Linked DNA regions of Oryzias latipes. The protein of the gene in region 3 purifies or fractionates together with the protein of the main gene of each other region. This does not show direct contact. Links are inferred from orthologs where the notes say so. Each region holds a gene or a part of one and is shown on either strand. Other genes may lie near its edges.

What was found. The genes of interacting proteins can lie anywhere in the genome.
Region 1: the proteins of cop1 (region 3) and etv4 purify together in Homo sapiens (affinity purification with mass spectrometry; 5 studies listed by BioGRID and IntAct, with this or other methods). This does not show direct contact. The link is inferred for Oryzias latipes from reciprocal best matches to the Homo sapiens genes COP1 and ETV4.
Region 2: the proteins of cop1 (region 3) and trib2 purify together in Homo sapiens (affinity purification with mass spectrometry; 4 studies listed by BioGRID and IntAct, counting the BioPlex papers as one, with this or other methods). This does not show direct contact. The link is inferred for Oryzias latipes from reciprocal best matches to the Homo sapiens genes COP1 and TRIB2.

The regions. Positions count from the first base shown.
Region 1 is NC_019877.2:18,210,446-18,214,609, forward strand, and holds the start of etv4 (ETS translocation variant 4), read left to right. Parts: upstream 1-1,364; 5' UTR 1,365-1,527; coding exon 1,528-1,584; intron 1,585-2,006; coding exon 2,007-2,097; intron 2,098-2,193; coding exon 2,194-2,241; intron 2,242-4,164.
Region 2 is NC_019882.2:2,597,931-2,602,039, forward strand, and holds the start of trib2 (tribbles homolog 2), read left to right. Parts: upstream 1-1,309; 5' UTR 1,310-2,368; coding exon 2,369-2,638; intron 2,639-3,537; coding exon 3,538-3,830; intron 3,831-4,109.
Region 3 is NC_019875.2:19,751,432-19,754,931, forward strand, and holds part of cop1 (E3 ubiquitin-protein ligase RFWD2), read right to left. Parts: intron 1,956-3,500; coding exon 1,812-1,955; intron 1,643-1,811; coding exon 1,534-1,642; intron 1,426-1,533; coding exon 1,344-1,425; intron 1,271-1,343; coding exon 1,154-1,270; intron 1-1,153. UniProt on the Homo sapiens protein: E3 ubiquitin-protein ligase that mediates ubiquitination and subsequent proteasomal degradation of target proteins.

The sequences.
Region 1 (4,164 bases), on a different chromosome or scaffold from region 3:
AGTAAGATCAAAATGGGACTTTAAAGCACCGTAAAAGGGTAAACAAAAGAGATCCAGGAGAATGTGTCTCCAAAAAGGATTAAAAAAAAAGGTTTTACGGTTCATTGTTAAACAAAAATTACGGGAGAAATGCCACTTCTCAAAACATTGTACGACTTTTCCTTCAGTTGTCAAACACACAAACTGCCCTGTCCTTCTGGATAAACACACAGGCTCTTTAGAGCAGCCCAAATTGAATGAAACATCTTAAACAACCATCATATTATATTTCCGTGATTCTACCTTGGACTGTAGTGCTGGCTGTGCCTGGTGTATAATTTATAGTCTGCTGTGTAAATCTAAATGTGCATCTAAATACCATTAAGCAGGAAGAAACCTGTATGGCGCTCTGTGTTATTGAGATTGAGTATGAGCTGCTGGGGGAGGAGAGTCAGGCTCTGGGCTGTACATTGACCTCACTCATGTAAAAACATTCTTTTGTGTTTCCTTCACCGACTGAGGTTTTAAACCTGTTTCAGTTGACTGTAAGCCTCACAAAGAACTTCACGTCCTCTGTTTTCCTTCTGTGTGTGTTTCTTAGTTTTTTTACATGGTGTCCTAAAACCACAGGTATGTGTATTCCTGCACGGATATACGTCAGCATTGCTCAGTGCTGCTGCTGCCATGTTTTCTTCCCAGTTACAAAGGAAGAGTTCAAAAGGAGTAAACAAGATAAAGTTCCTTTAATTTCCGCTGACAAAACAAGAAAAACATGCCACGACTTTCGTGCTGGGGCAAGTTTTTTATTTTTTTATGAATGGACACCCCCTCCACCCTGTTCCTCTTTTTGTGAATGAAAAACAACTGGAAAATCAAGTAGAAAAGGCTCGCAGGCAGAAAGGGAAGCTGATTGGCTCACGCGGCAAGACCCCGCCTATGGTTGCTAGGAGCCAGACGTTCGGCGCTCTGATTGGGGCGCGGAGTGAACCGAGACTTCATTCATAAGTTGGTGCATTCACCCGGACAAAACGGAGAAATTCGATCTCTTGCAAAGGAAATCCACCAATCCCGAAGCTCCACTGTGGAGCTGGAAGAGAAGTCTCTATATTATCACCGAACCGTGTGATTTGACCGCACAGCTGGCATTAAACACCTCCCAAACACGTTTCAGAAAGTTTTACTAATAATAAATAAAGTTGTGTTTTAGGGGTTTCTGTGCGTCAAGAGAGACATCTATGGGCAGACTTGGCAACAAAGACACAAACTTCTTGTTCATTTGTAAATAAAAACTGACGATAAATCAATGTGGATGAAAGTGCGCCTGCGCCATCAAAGTTTAAAGCAGTTATAGAGTGACACAGATTTGTGAGGAGGCCCGCAGCCCGCTGGGTAATCGCTCGCCATCACTTCCCCTCGGCATTTTTTTGTGAATGGAGCTCATTATGCATGCAGCTTCCACGCAGCTCCATTCACAAGCCGCGCTCCCTCCTCTCTGCAGGCTGCGTGGGTCCCACTAACGCAGCCTAAATGACCACAAACGGTTAACGGATGGATTATAAGATGGATGGATATTTGGACCAGCAAGTGCCTTACACTTTAGCAAATGTACGTATGCCTCAGTTCTTGTTTTGAACTCCTACTTTTGTTGTTTTTCTTCCTCCTCCATGGCCCGACTCTGCGCTCCGCGTTGCGTCTGCACGAGTTTTGGCTTGAAGGCGCAGCTGTGCGCGCGGTGGAAAACTGTTTGTCAAAGCCTTTTAAAGACCTATTTCGAAATCTGCACATATTAAAGGATGGCATGTGCTACATTTAAACGTGTTTGTCGAAGCTTCCCCCCTACTTCTTTCGGTTTAGGATCGCGTTACTCTGTTCCAAATGGTCACTTTGCGCGTTTGTTTATGTGTGTATATATATATATATATATATATATATATATATATATATATATATATATATATATATATATATATATATATATATACACACACACACACACACTCACTCCTTTCCCATCTCTGGGTTTACAGAAGTCGCAAGGAAATGGGCCCCTAAATAGACTGTTGATGGCTGCAAAAAGGAAATTCATGGATACAGAATTACCCCCTCAGGAATCTGAAGGTAACATTTAGGAATCTGTGTCATTTCTTGATCTGTGAGTGTATTCTGATGTCTATAAGGATGTTGTGACTAAATTTTTCTCCTGCTTCCCTTCAGACCTCTTCCAGGATTTAAGCCAACTTCAAGAGACATGGCTCACAGAAGGTGAGGCTGCTTTCCTCCTCAAATATACTTTTATGTGTTGATGAATTATCTGTCTGACCACACAACATGGCCATCCTTTGGGTTCTTTAAAAGCTTATTTAGAGAAACGAAAACTTTTTTTTCAAAATGTAGTATTGTTTTCTTTCATTTTTGGTTTGGTTGAGAAGCCCAACGGCTCTGATGCAACACATATGCTCATAACCCACACAACCTCCCCCTGCATCTGAAAAAAAAAGTGTGAGTGAGCACAGACGGCACATTATTAGCTTTGAGCATGGCCTATTTTGGCCACATTGGCATGTATCGTGAGTGCCAGGCTGCAGCCAAAGCAAACAAACTGACTGTTTGGCTTGTGTCACTCAAAGGCACACAGTGATGAAATGAGGCCCAGCCAGGGGCAACTGTCTGCTTGTAGACTTAATATGTTCGCTGCTGACATGAACCTTAATGGTGTCATTATACTGTTGGGCTGTTGGTCATTGTGTGTTTCGGGGGCCAATCTAGAGCAAAGAAAACATGGCTGTGTGGGTTTAAGTGAAGCATACAATGAGGTGTAAATGTAGTTGTTTGTGCTGCTTTGATGTGGAGGTTTGGAAGAAGAACGCCACTCTCTTTGGACATTTACATTCAACTGCAAAAGCCACTGAGGCTGGATGAGTGCTGCTTCAAGTCTCCTCCTGCTTATCCTCAGAGCTTGCTTCACTTGAGCGTGTCTGTGCAGCGCAGCCAGGGCTGTTTCACATTAATGTGCAGGAAGAAGACGCTTTCTCGTGCTCACCTTAAACGTTAATTGGAAGCATACATGCAGAAAGCTTGACATCCCGAGGACTTCGGGAAACAAGGTGGTCCGGTCTGGAATTTAAACAAAAGTGTTTTGGACACTGGAAGCTGGTGGGCTGGAAAACAATCTGTTGGTCAGTTTTGAAAATGTTATTTCCAGTTGACATAAAGAAATACATGTAATTTTCAAGTTGGGCTTTTTAAAAGTCTTTTTGTCAGTTTTATTTTTTGGTGTTCACACCGAAGTGGTGCTTTAGAATATTTTGCATTTAGTCACACATCTACATGTTTCACGAACTCTGTACAGTCTGTGCCACGCACTCTCGACCTTAGATAACCATTCATCCAGTAAGTTGAATGAAGAAAGACTTGCAGACACAACATTTTAATAATTGACACATCCCATCAGGTGTCGCATGGTCCCATCATATCCGTACTGCACCAAAATCTGCTGAACCTGGTCCACCATGCTTAATCTGGGGTGATCACTTAACAAATGCTCTGTGATTGGTCCCAGTGCACAGTTTATATTCCTGCAAGAGACAAAATATTACAAATGCTTTTAAAATGATTAGAATTGCAGCTTATTTGAATAAAAACTGATTTCATTCATGTGTTGTTAGATGTGTAGTACAACTGGATTATTGTGCTGCAGGACTCTAACTATGTCTCAGATTTATCCATAACCTGCATCCCATTGATGCAACTTTCTGATGAAAATGCTTTTTTTGTTGGTGTTTTTAACATGTTCTTGCAGCATCTTTTTTTCATGATGGACATGATAAGGAAAATGAACTACTGCCTCTCTGCAGAAAGTATGTCATAGAAAACAACACGTTTTTTAATTTAAGCTAAAAATGGCACCATCATAATTAAAATGACCAGTGGGAACACTTTGAAAATAGATCAGACATGATCGGAGTGGGACTTTAATGTAAAGTAATCTTAGTAATATGTTCATAAACCTGTTAAACAACATTAAAATTGGCAGGTGGGTTTTGCCATGCTATGGGATGATCTTTGAACGCAAATAAAATACAAAAGCCTCAGCCAACTGACTGCATCAGCCACCAGTGTTGTGTGAGGACCATTCTAAGAAACACGAGACATAAAAATCCCCAGAGATGTGTTCATCCTCTGTGT
Region 2 (4,109 bases), on a different chromosome or scaffold from region 3:
TGGATGGGACTATTAGCGTGGAGCAACCCCGTCACCCCTTCCCATCATCCCTTTGTTTACACTCTCACCCGCTAGCTTACAGCCCCTCCCACCCTCAACCTAATACTACTGCTGCAACAAAAATGACTAGCAATATCAGTTGTACAGTTTTGATGCAGATTCCAGACGTTCTCGGATCTATTTGTCTACCAGTGGATGCATCAGAATGGAGCAGAGCAGGGAGCTTTTCAACGTCACAAATTAGCTCTTTTTCAAATGGCATTTTTTTTTCATCTGTTCCTGAGTCTTTTGAATTAAGAAATACTAAGAAATGCAGCGATTGAGCTTAATTTTCTTTACATATGTCCTCATCGCCAGAAAAATTACGCAAGAACATGTTAAAAACACCCCTAAAACACATTTTTGTTTTTTACCAGAGCTGAGCTCTTGGCGATGCACGTTCAAGCAACCGCTTTTAATGTAAAGTCTATGTAAACGTGCATTTAACGGCCTCTCAGATTCGAAACGTCTGCCTTCCAGAGCCACTATGCAAGGTTTCTACGTTTGTTTTCAGGTTCTATGTTAAAAATTAAACCATGTTGAAATGGGAATGGTCATGTCATGACGAACGGGTGACGGCCTTTAATTCATGGATTAATCATCATAGTAGCTTCTACGTCACGCTTACAAGCTTTTTCCAAATGCATTTTCTTCATCTGCTACTGATTGTAAGTGATGATTAAAGCAATACTAAAAAAGCCATTTTGAGCCTAATTCTCTTCATATATGTCCTTCATCATGAGAAAATGTCACAAGAACGCATTTTTACCATTTTCATTGAAGTCAGTCTTTAAGAAAGTCGCCTATAAACCCTATAGACCTGGTTTTTGTAAAGCAGTATAACTATTTCATGTTTACCTCCTTTTAAATGGGATGATTATGCCTCGTTCCATAGTACAAAATAACATTAAAATGTGTTTTTTTGTCTCGATAACTTTCATGAACACACGTTTAATTGAATTTATTTATTTTTTTAACAATTAAATGCGTTTACAGACGTTTTTGTAGAGAGCAGTGAGCAGGGATCCCCCTGCTCTCCTTTGAGTGGCATTTCAGGAGGAAACACGTTCGCAGCACAGCACGTACAGCCGTAGTCGACTCCGTTTCACCACGCGCTGCATTTAGATTCCTGGGGGCGCGACCACAGCTTGTTGCTTCCACGTGACTTCAGGGGAGACTGGCAGCCAATCAGGAGGCGAGTTCTCCCTGACGTCAGTGGGCGGCCCCCAGAGCGCTCGCGTATGTGAGCTCGCAGAATCCCCCCTCCCCTCCCTCGTGCCCTCCTCCCCTCCCTTCGCCCGGTAGGAAGGCTGCTCGCTGGCTCCGTGCAGGCGCAGTGCGTGCAGTCCGATCCGCTCAGCTGGCTTCCTCTCCGCTCTGAGTGGACTCGATTCCCCGCCACGTAAGAAGCACAGCGGTGTCACGGGGGTGAGGATGTCCTGCTAAATCAAGGGATTGGCCTGGGAAATTCGCCGGCCGTCCCTTCATTCCTTCAAGCAGGAGACCCACCGAGAAAGACGGAACATTTCTCACCCGTTGGACGAACGGAGACTCGCTGAAAAGAACCAACCAGCAGCAGTGACTCTTTCCGGATGGGGGTTTCTCCTTTGCGGTCGATGATTTTCACCGTGCACGGATGCGAATCTGGAGAACAAGGCCGTGCAGTGAACCTGGTGGTACTCGTTAGCCGAACAAGCTAACTAGTTAGCTTTGTGTGTGTGTGTGTGTGTGTGTGTGTGTTTTTTGGCTAGCTTTCATTTGTTCGACAAAATATCAAAGCAACTCTAATTAGTCCACATGTTCTTTATTATAGCCATGTTCAGATAGTACATTTCCTCTGTTTTTTGGAGCCAAAGCTAACATATTGTTTCCGTTTTACGAAACGTGTCAGAACCGGCGAGATAAGCTAGCAGACGAGCGGTCTTCATTCATTTTGAAGGCTAACTTTTTGTAGCCTTTGTTGCAGCTTTGTCTCTTGCTCGTTCGTGACATTGCAGCACATTGCTGGGAATATTAGTCTCAATTTGCATTTTTTTTTGAGATTCAACTAAATTTTTTATTTTATTTTTTAAAAATTATTATTTTTATAATTTGTAGATTAAGAGAAGTGAATGAATTGTAGTGAAAATGCAGTTTTTGTTGTTGAATGAAATCGAAGGGTCTGTTTGAGTATAAGTGTTTTTTTGTTTGTTTTGTTTTTTATATTTAATTCAAACGGACCGGTTGAAAAATCGTGAATTATTGCTAACGACCCCCCTCCGTGCCCCCCTCCTCGTTGTACGGAAAAGCCCCCCCCCGGAATTCGCGGCTCCATCACACGCAGTTCCTCATGAACATACAGAGGTCAAATCCTATCAATATTTCACGCTATGGGAGGTCGCGACACAAATCCCACGATTTCGACAAGTTGACCTGCTTGAGGACCACTGAGTCTCACCAGAGCTTCAGCCCCAACCTCGGGTCCCCCAGCCCGCCGGAGACCCCGGCCTCGTCGCACTGCATCTCCCGCATCGGGGACTACCTTTTGTTGGAGCCGCTGGAGGGGGACCACGTTTTCAGGGCCGCCCACCTGCACAGCGGGGACGAGCTGGTGTGTAAGGTGAGTACCCCCCCCCCCATTATAATGCTTTAATTTTTCCCCCCTTCGTTACAAATGGGACGCAGATACTCTGCTCACGCGGGATGTTTCCATGTTCTGCTGCACATCCGCCAGCTTTTGAATAATTGCTTGGGCTGTAAATAGAGCTGACAGAGCAGCCGAATGGAAAAAGTGAATGGGGTGGGGGTGGGGGGGGTGAGCTTGTGTTGCATGATGTAACGTTGACAAAGGAATCCATAACCACACACACGCACGCATGCAGCCCTTTCCTCTTTCAGATTTCCCCCCTTACCTGTTAATCTGCTGGGATTATAACCTTGAATTTAGGACGGCTGTGCTCTCACAAACATTTCGTGAACATTTTATTTTTTTTCAGTGCAGCAGACATTGACTTTTGCATATTCCAGATTATGTCCCTTAATCTGGGTTACGTGACTTGATCATTTGCAGCGATGGTCGTTCTCATGACACGGCCTGCACCTTTTCTTTTTTTTTTTTTTTTTTTTTTTGCCTAAAAATGGCGTTTTATACCCATGTGGCGGAGTTGCGGCCTTTGGCACCGCCAGTGAGCTAACGGGCGCTTGACCCCGTCTGCTTAGCGCTGACCTCGATACGGCAGCCATCGATTCTTACTTCCGGGATTGATTTCTCAGCTTGGGATGAGCGGAGTGTCTTTGTATTGACTGAAGGGAGAGAGAAAAAAATGGTGGAGCCCTCTCACCTGGTCGTAGGGATAGTCAATTGTGCGTTGCCATGGAAACAGGAGACACTGCAACCCCGGGCTGCAGCAAAATGCCATCCCCTTATATCACTAACAGTCAAAAACAGTTGTCGGGGGGGGGGGGGGGGGGGGGAGGAAGCGAGGTCTAAATATCGACTGCCTGTTTTTAAATTTCCAGGTTTTCGACATCGGCCGGTACCAAGAGTCCCTGGCGGCCTACTTCGCCCTGGGCCAGCATCAGCACATAAACCAAATCCTGGAGATCTTGCTCGGGGAGACGCGAGCGTACGTCTTCTTTGAGCGGAGCCATGGCGACATGCACTCTTTTGTGCGCACCTGCAAGAAGCTACGGGAGGACGAGGCTGCCAGGCTCTTCTATCAGATAGCCTCCGCCGTGGCGCACTGCCACGACAACGGACTGGTGCTCCGCGACCTCAAACTGAGGAAGTTCGTCTTCAAAAACGAAGACAGGTGAGCGGCAGCTTTCATCCGCGTCATGTCTCCGCTTACACCGAGGACGGTGTAAGCGGAGACCGTGCACAGAAAGTGACACGCGTCTCCCAGATGGTTTTTGGGAATGTAAAACAAGATCTCCTGCCCCAGTCGACAGGGTTTATTAGCGCATACGTTACATGCACAAAAACAGATACCCGGTTGGTTCTGTAGGCCCGGCTTTGGTGAAGTTTAGCATGCAAAACGTGCTGGAAAGGGGAGCATTTTGCATGGCAGATTATCTGTCAAAGGCATGCC
Region 3 (3,500 bases):
TAGATATTCTTCTGTCAGGACATAATAAAGTTCTTTTGGATTGTTCAGGATTAATTGTCTTTCAAACAAACAAAAAGAAAAACAGTTGAGATGTGATGCTGAATAAAATAAAAGAAATACAATATTATATAGCAATGACAGAAAACATTTTTAATGCTCCTTAACTGAGGAAAAACCTTGAATATGTTAGCGTGACACTACATTGTCCCTTTACTTTCTAAAAAGAATAAAACACTGTTTGTATCCAGTTCTGTTAAAAGGAGTTAGGCTCTCTCTCTCTTTGTTTAAAATCAATTTGTATTTTGTATCTAAATAGCCGAAATTGCAAAATCTTAAGCGAGAGCAACAGTTCTCTTTTCTTTCTAAAAGCTTGTCTGTTTTGACTTTTTTTATATATAAATTCCACCTACATTATGCAACATTTTCAGGGGTTAAAAAAAAGTGCTTTTTGTTGTGAAAAATTAGAAGTAAAAAAAAAAAACAACTTAAGAAATTACCTCTAGAATTTCTTTACAGAGCAAAAATCAAACTATGAAAAAGATCTGGTAGAAGAATGCACTAAAATTGACTTAAAAAGTCTCCAAAGACATTTTTAAAGAATTATTATAATTCCTGAATGACGAGAGTTTAGTGCCCATAGAATTCTGAAATGTAATATTTTATGGTTACCAACCAAAGAAATTCAGAAATGCAGCCGATGACAATCATACCTCCCTACCCAACTTTGACTGAAGAACATATGAAAATTATATCATTTTATTTTTAACAAAATCTTTAATTTTATAGAGTACAAGCATTTCAGAAGAGAAACTAGACCCCCAAAATACTTGTGATAAAAGTGAGTGGTTTATAATTTGAGTTGGGGTTGTTGAAGGTAATTTGAACGATTCCACTTTTACAGTTTTTTAATTAATTTAGTAATATTATATTGACGACAAAAGCTGTTAAGGATTTTGCCAAACGCTTTATTCAATAAGCACACAACATGAACCAAAATAAGAGCAGAGTTTAGTTCCTTCTTGCAGAATACAGAAACAGAATAACTAAAGTAGATGTGGGAAGATATTTCAATTAATATAACCTCTTAACAAATGCAGAAAAACACTAAACCAACTGAAAAATAAGCAGATAAAGTGAGGATTGAAGAAATTACCTGCACAGCCGAATGCCAGATGATACCTGGATGTTGGGCTAAATTTAACGCAGCATACGTTAGCTTTAGCCTCGATGCTCGCTACTGAGTTGTCCAGATTGGTTGACCACAGCTTTACTGAAAAAGAATGTTGGAAATCTCTAACACGATTGATGAGGATGACGTGTTCAGACGAGGGCCAAATCTTTACCTTTAGCATCATCAGAGCCGGAAGCTAAAAGTTTGGGGTCCATCAGATTAAAGTCGACACTCCAACACCTTTTTTCATGTTCCTGAAAAGAACAACAGTGGAGGGTGTCACTGCAGATTAGGCTAATCAGTCAGAAGATAAAAGGATATGAACAGTTTTATCACAACACTTTCAACTCTAGTCATCACACCTGGTAGACTTTGGACCGCTGGCCGGTGAATCCATCCCACAGAATGACGGTTCCCTCATAATCGCTGCTAGCCAGAAGGTTCTTATGATAACTACTCCAGCTGATGCAGCTGCAATGAAGAAACAGATCTTCAAATGTAGATTCTTGTCAACCAAAGCTGGCAGAAATTTTTTTTTTTCCTGTTCATATGTGCATATCTGAAATTCTTTTTTTTTTTTCATTCATGGAGCACAGTTTTAAGCAAAACCTAGTCTCTGTCGAGGAATGAATTCCTTTACCTGATTTTGGAATTGCAGGTCATTTCGTTCACAGGATAGTGGATGTCCACGGCATCCTGGATCACGGTGCCGTACTCAAACACCTTGATCTTCTTGGTCACACCAGCAATGGCAAAGTAGTCACAGTCACGGTCAAACTCGATACTGAAACACACGCGAAGATGGAGTCAGTGATCAGACTTCTCCCTCATTTTAGGTACGGTAATCGTTTCCTACGACAACAAAATCGGAATTTTGGCTTTAACCCTTCAACTCCAGCACGTTAGTGCCAGTGTTTCAATTCTTTCTATTACAGTAATATATAAATAATAATAATTAATCATTTTAATTTATTTATTCCACAATGGGGAAATTCTTTCTCCGCATTTGACCCATTCCCTGTGGTGGCGGTGGGCTGTGGGCTGGCCGCGCCCGGGGGGCGACAGCTGGCTGGGAGGAGCGGGGATCGATCCTCCAGCCCTTCGGTTGTTGGACGACCTGCTCTACCCCTTGAGCTAAACTGCCGTCCTATATTTTTTATATATATATATATATATATATATATATATATATATATATATATATATATATATATATATATATATATATATATATATATATATATATCTATAGATATATATATATATATATCTCTATAGATATATATATATATATCTCTATAGATATATATATATATATATATCTATAGATAGATATCGATAGATAGATAGATATCTATATATATATATATATCTATAGATAGATATCGATAGATAGATAGATATCTATATATCTATATATATCTATATATCTATATATATATATCTATATATCTATATATCTATATCTATATATCTATATATATATCTATATATATATATATATATATATATATATATATATATATATATAGATATATAGATATCTATCTATCTATCTATCGATATCTATCTATAGATATCTATCTATCTATCGATATCTATCTATCTATCTATCGATATCTATCTATCTATCTATCTATCTCTCTCTCTCTCTATATATATATATATATATATATATAGATATATATATATATAGATTTATATAGATATATATCTATATATATATAGATATATATCTATATAAATATATATATTGGAGAAGATAGCTTTGCTGTGTGTATTATTCTTTTTGTAGTAATACATAATTTGAACAGACAAAGCGTTTCATTATGGATACAGAAAGCATTGACAGTCACGTTTCATGCTCTGCTGTAAAAATGGGGGGACCATGACATTCCTAAAGCGCGGGTGGGTTAACCAAGGCTGAGCCAACGGCGGCCCCTGCTCCGTGCTTAAAGACACTGCTGCCTGAGTGGGCTTGAACCGCGGGCCCGGCAGCAGGCGCCGTGGCAGGACGGCTGGGTCAGACGGGGCTACGCTTCTAATCGAGGAGGCACGCAAACAGGGACAGGTTTAGAAACCCTCCTGCGGGCCGCGGGGGTCCTCCCCAGGAAACCAGGGCTTTGCCGGCCCCGCTGTGTGTCGGGTTTCTCAGAGAAAGAAGAAAAAAAGTAAAAAGAAGCTCAGTGTTTTTAAACACAGTGACATATGTTCAGAGGATGTTCAATTGGCCGTTCTGCATGCCAATCAAGGGGCGTATTTCACGCCGAGGATGATGATTTTCTGACAGATTTTTAAAAATACATTTATCTTTGATGGCTTACCATCA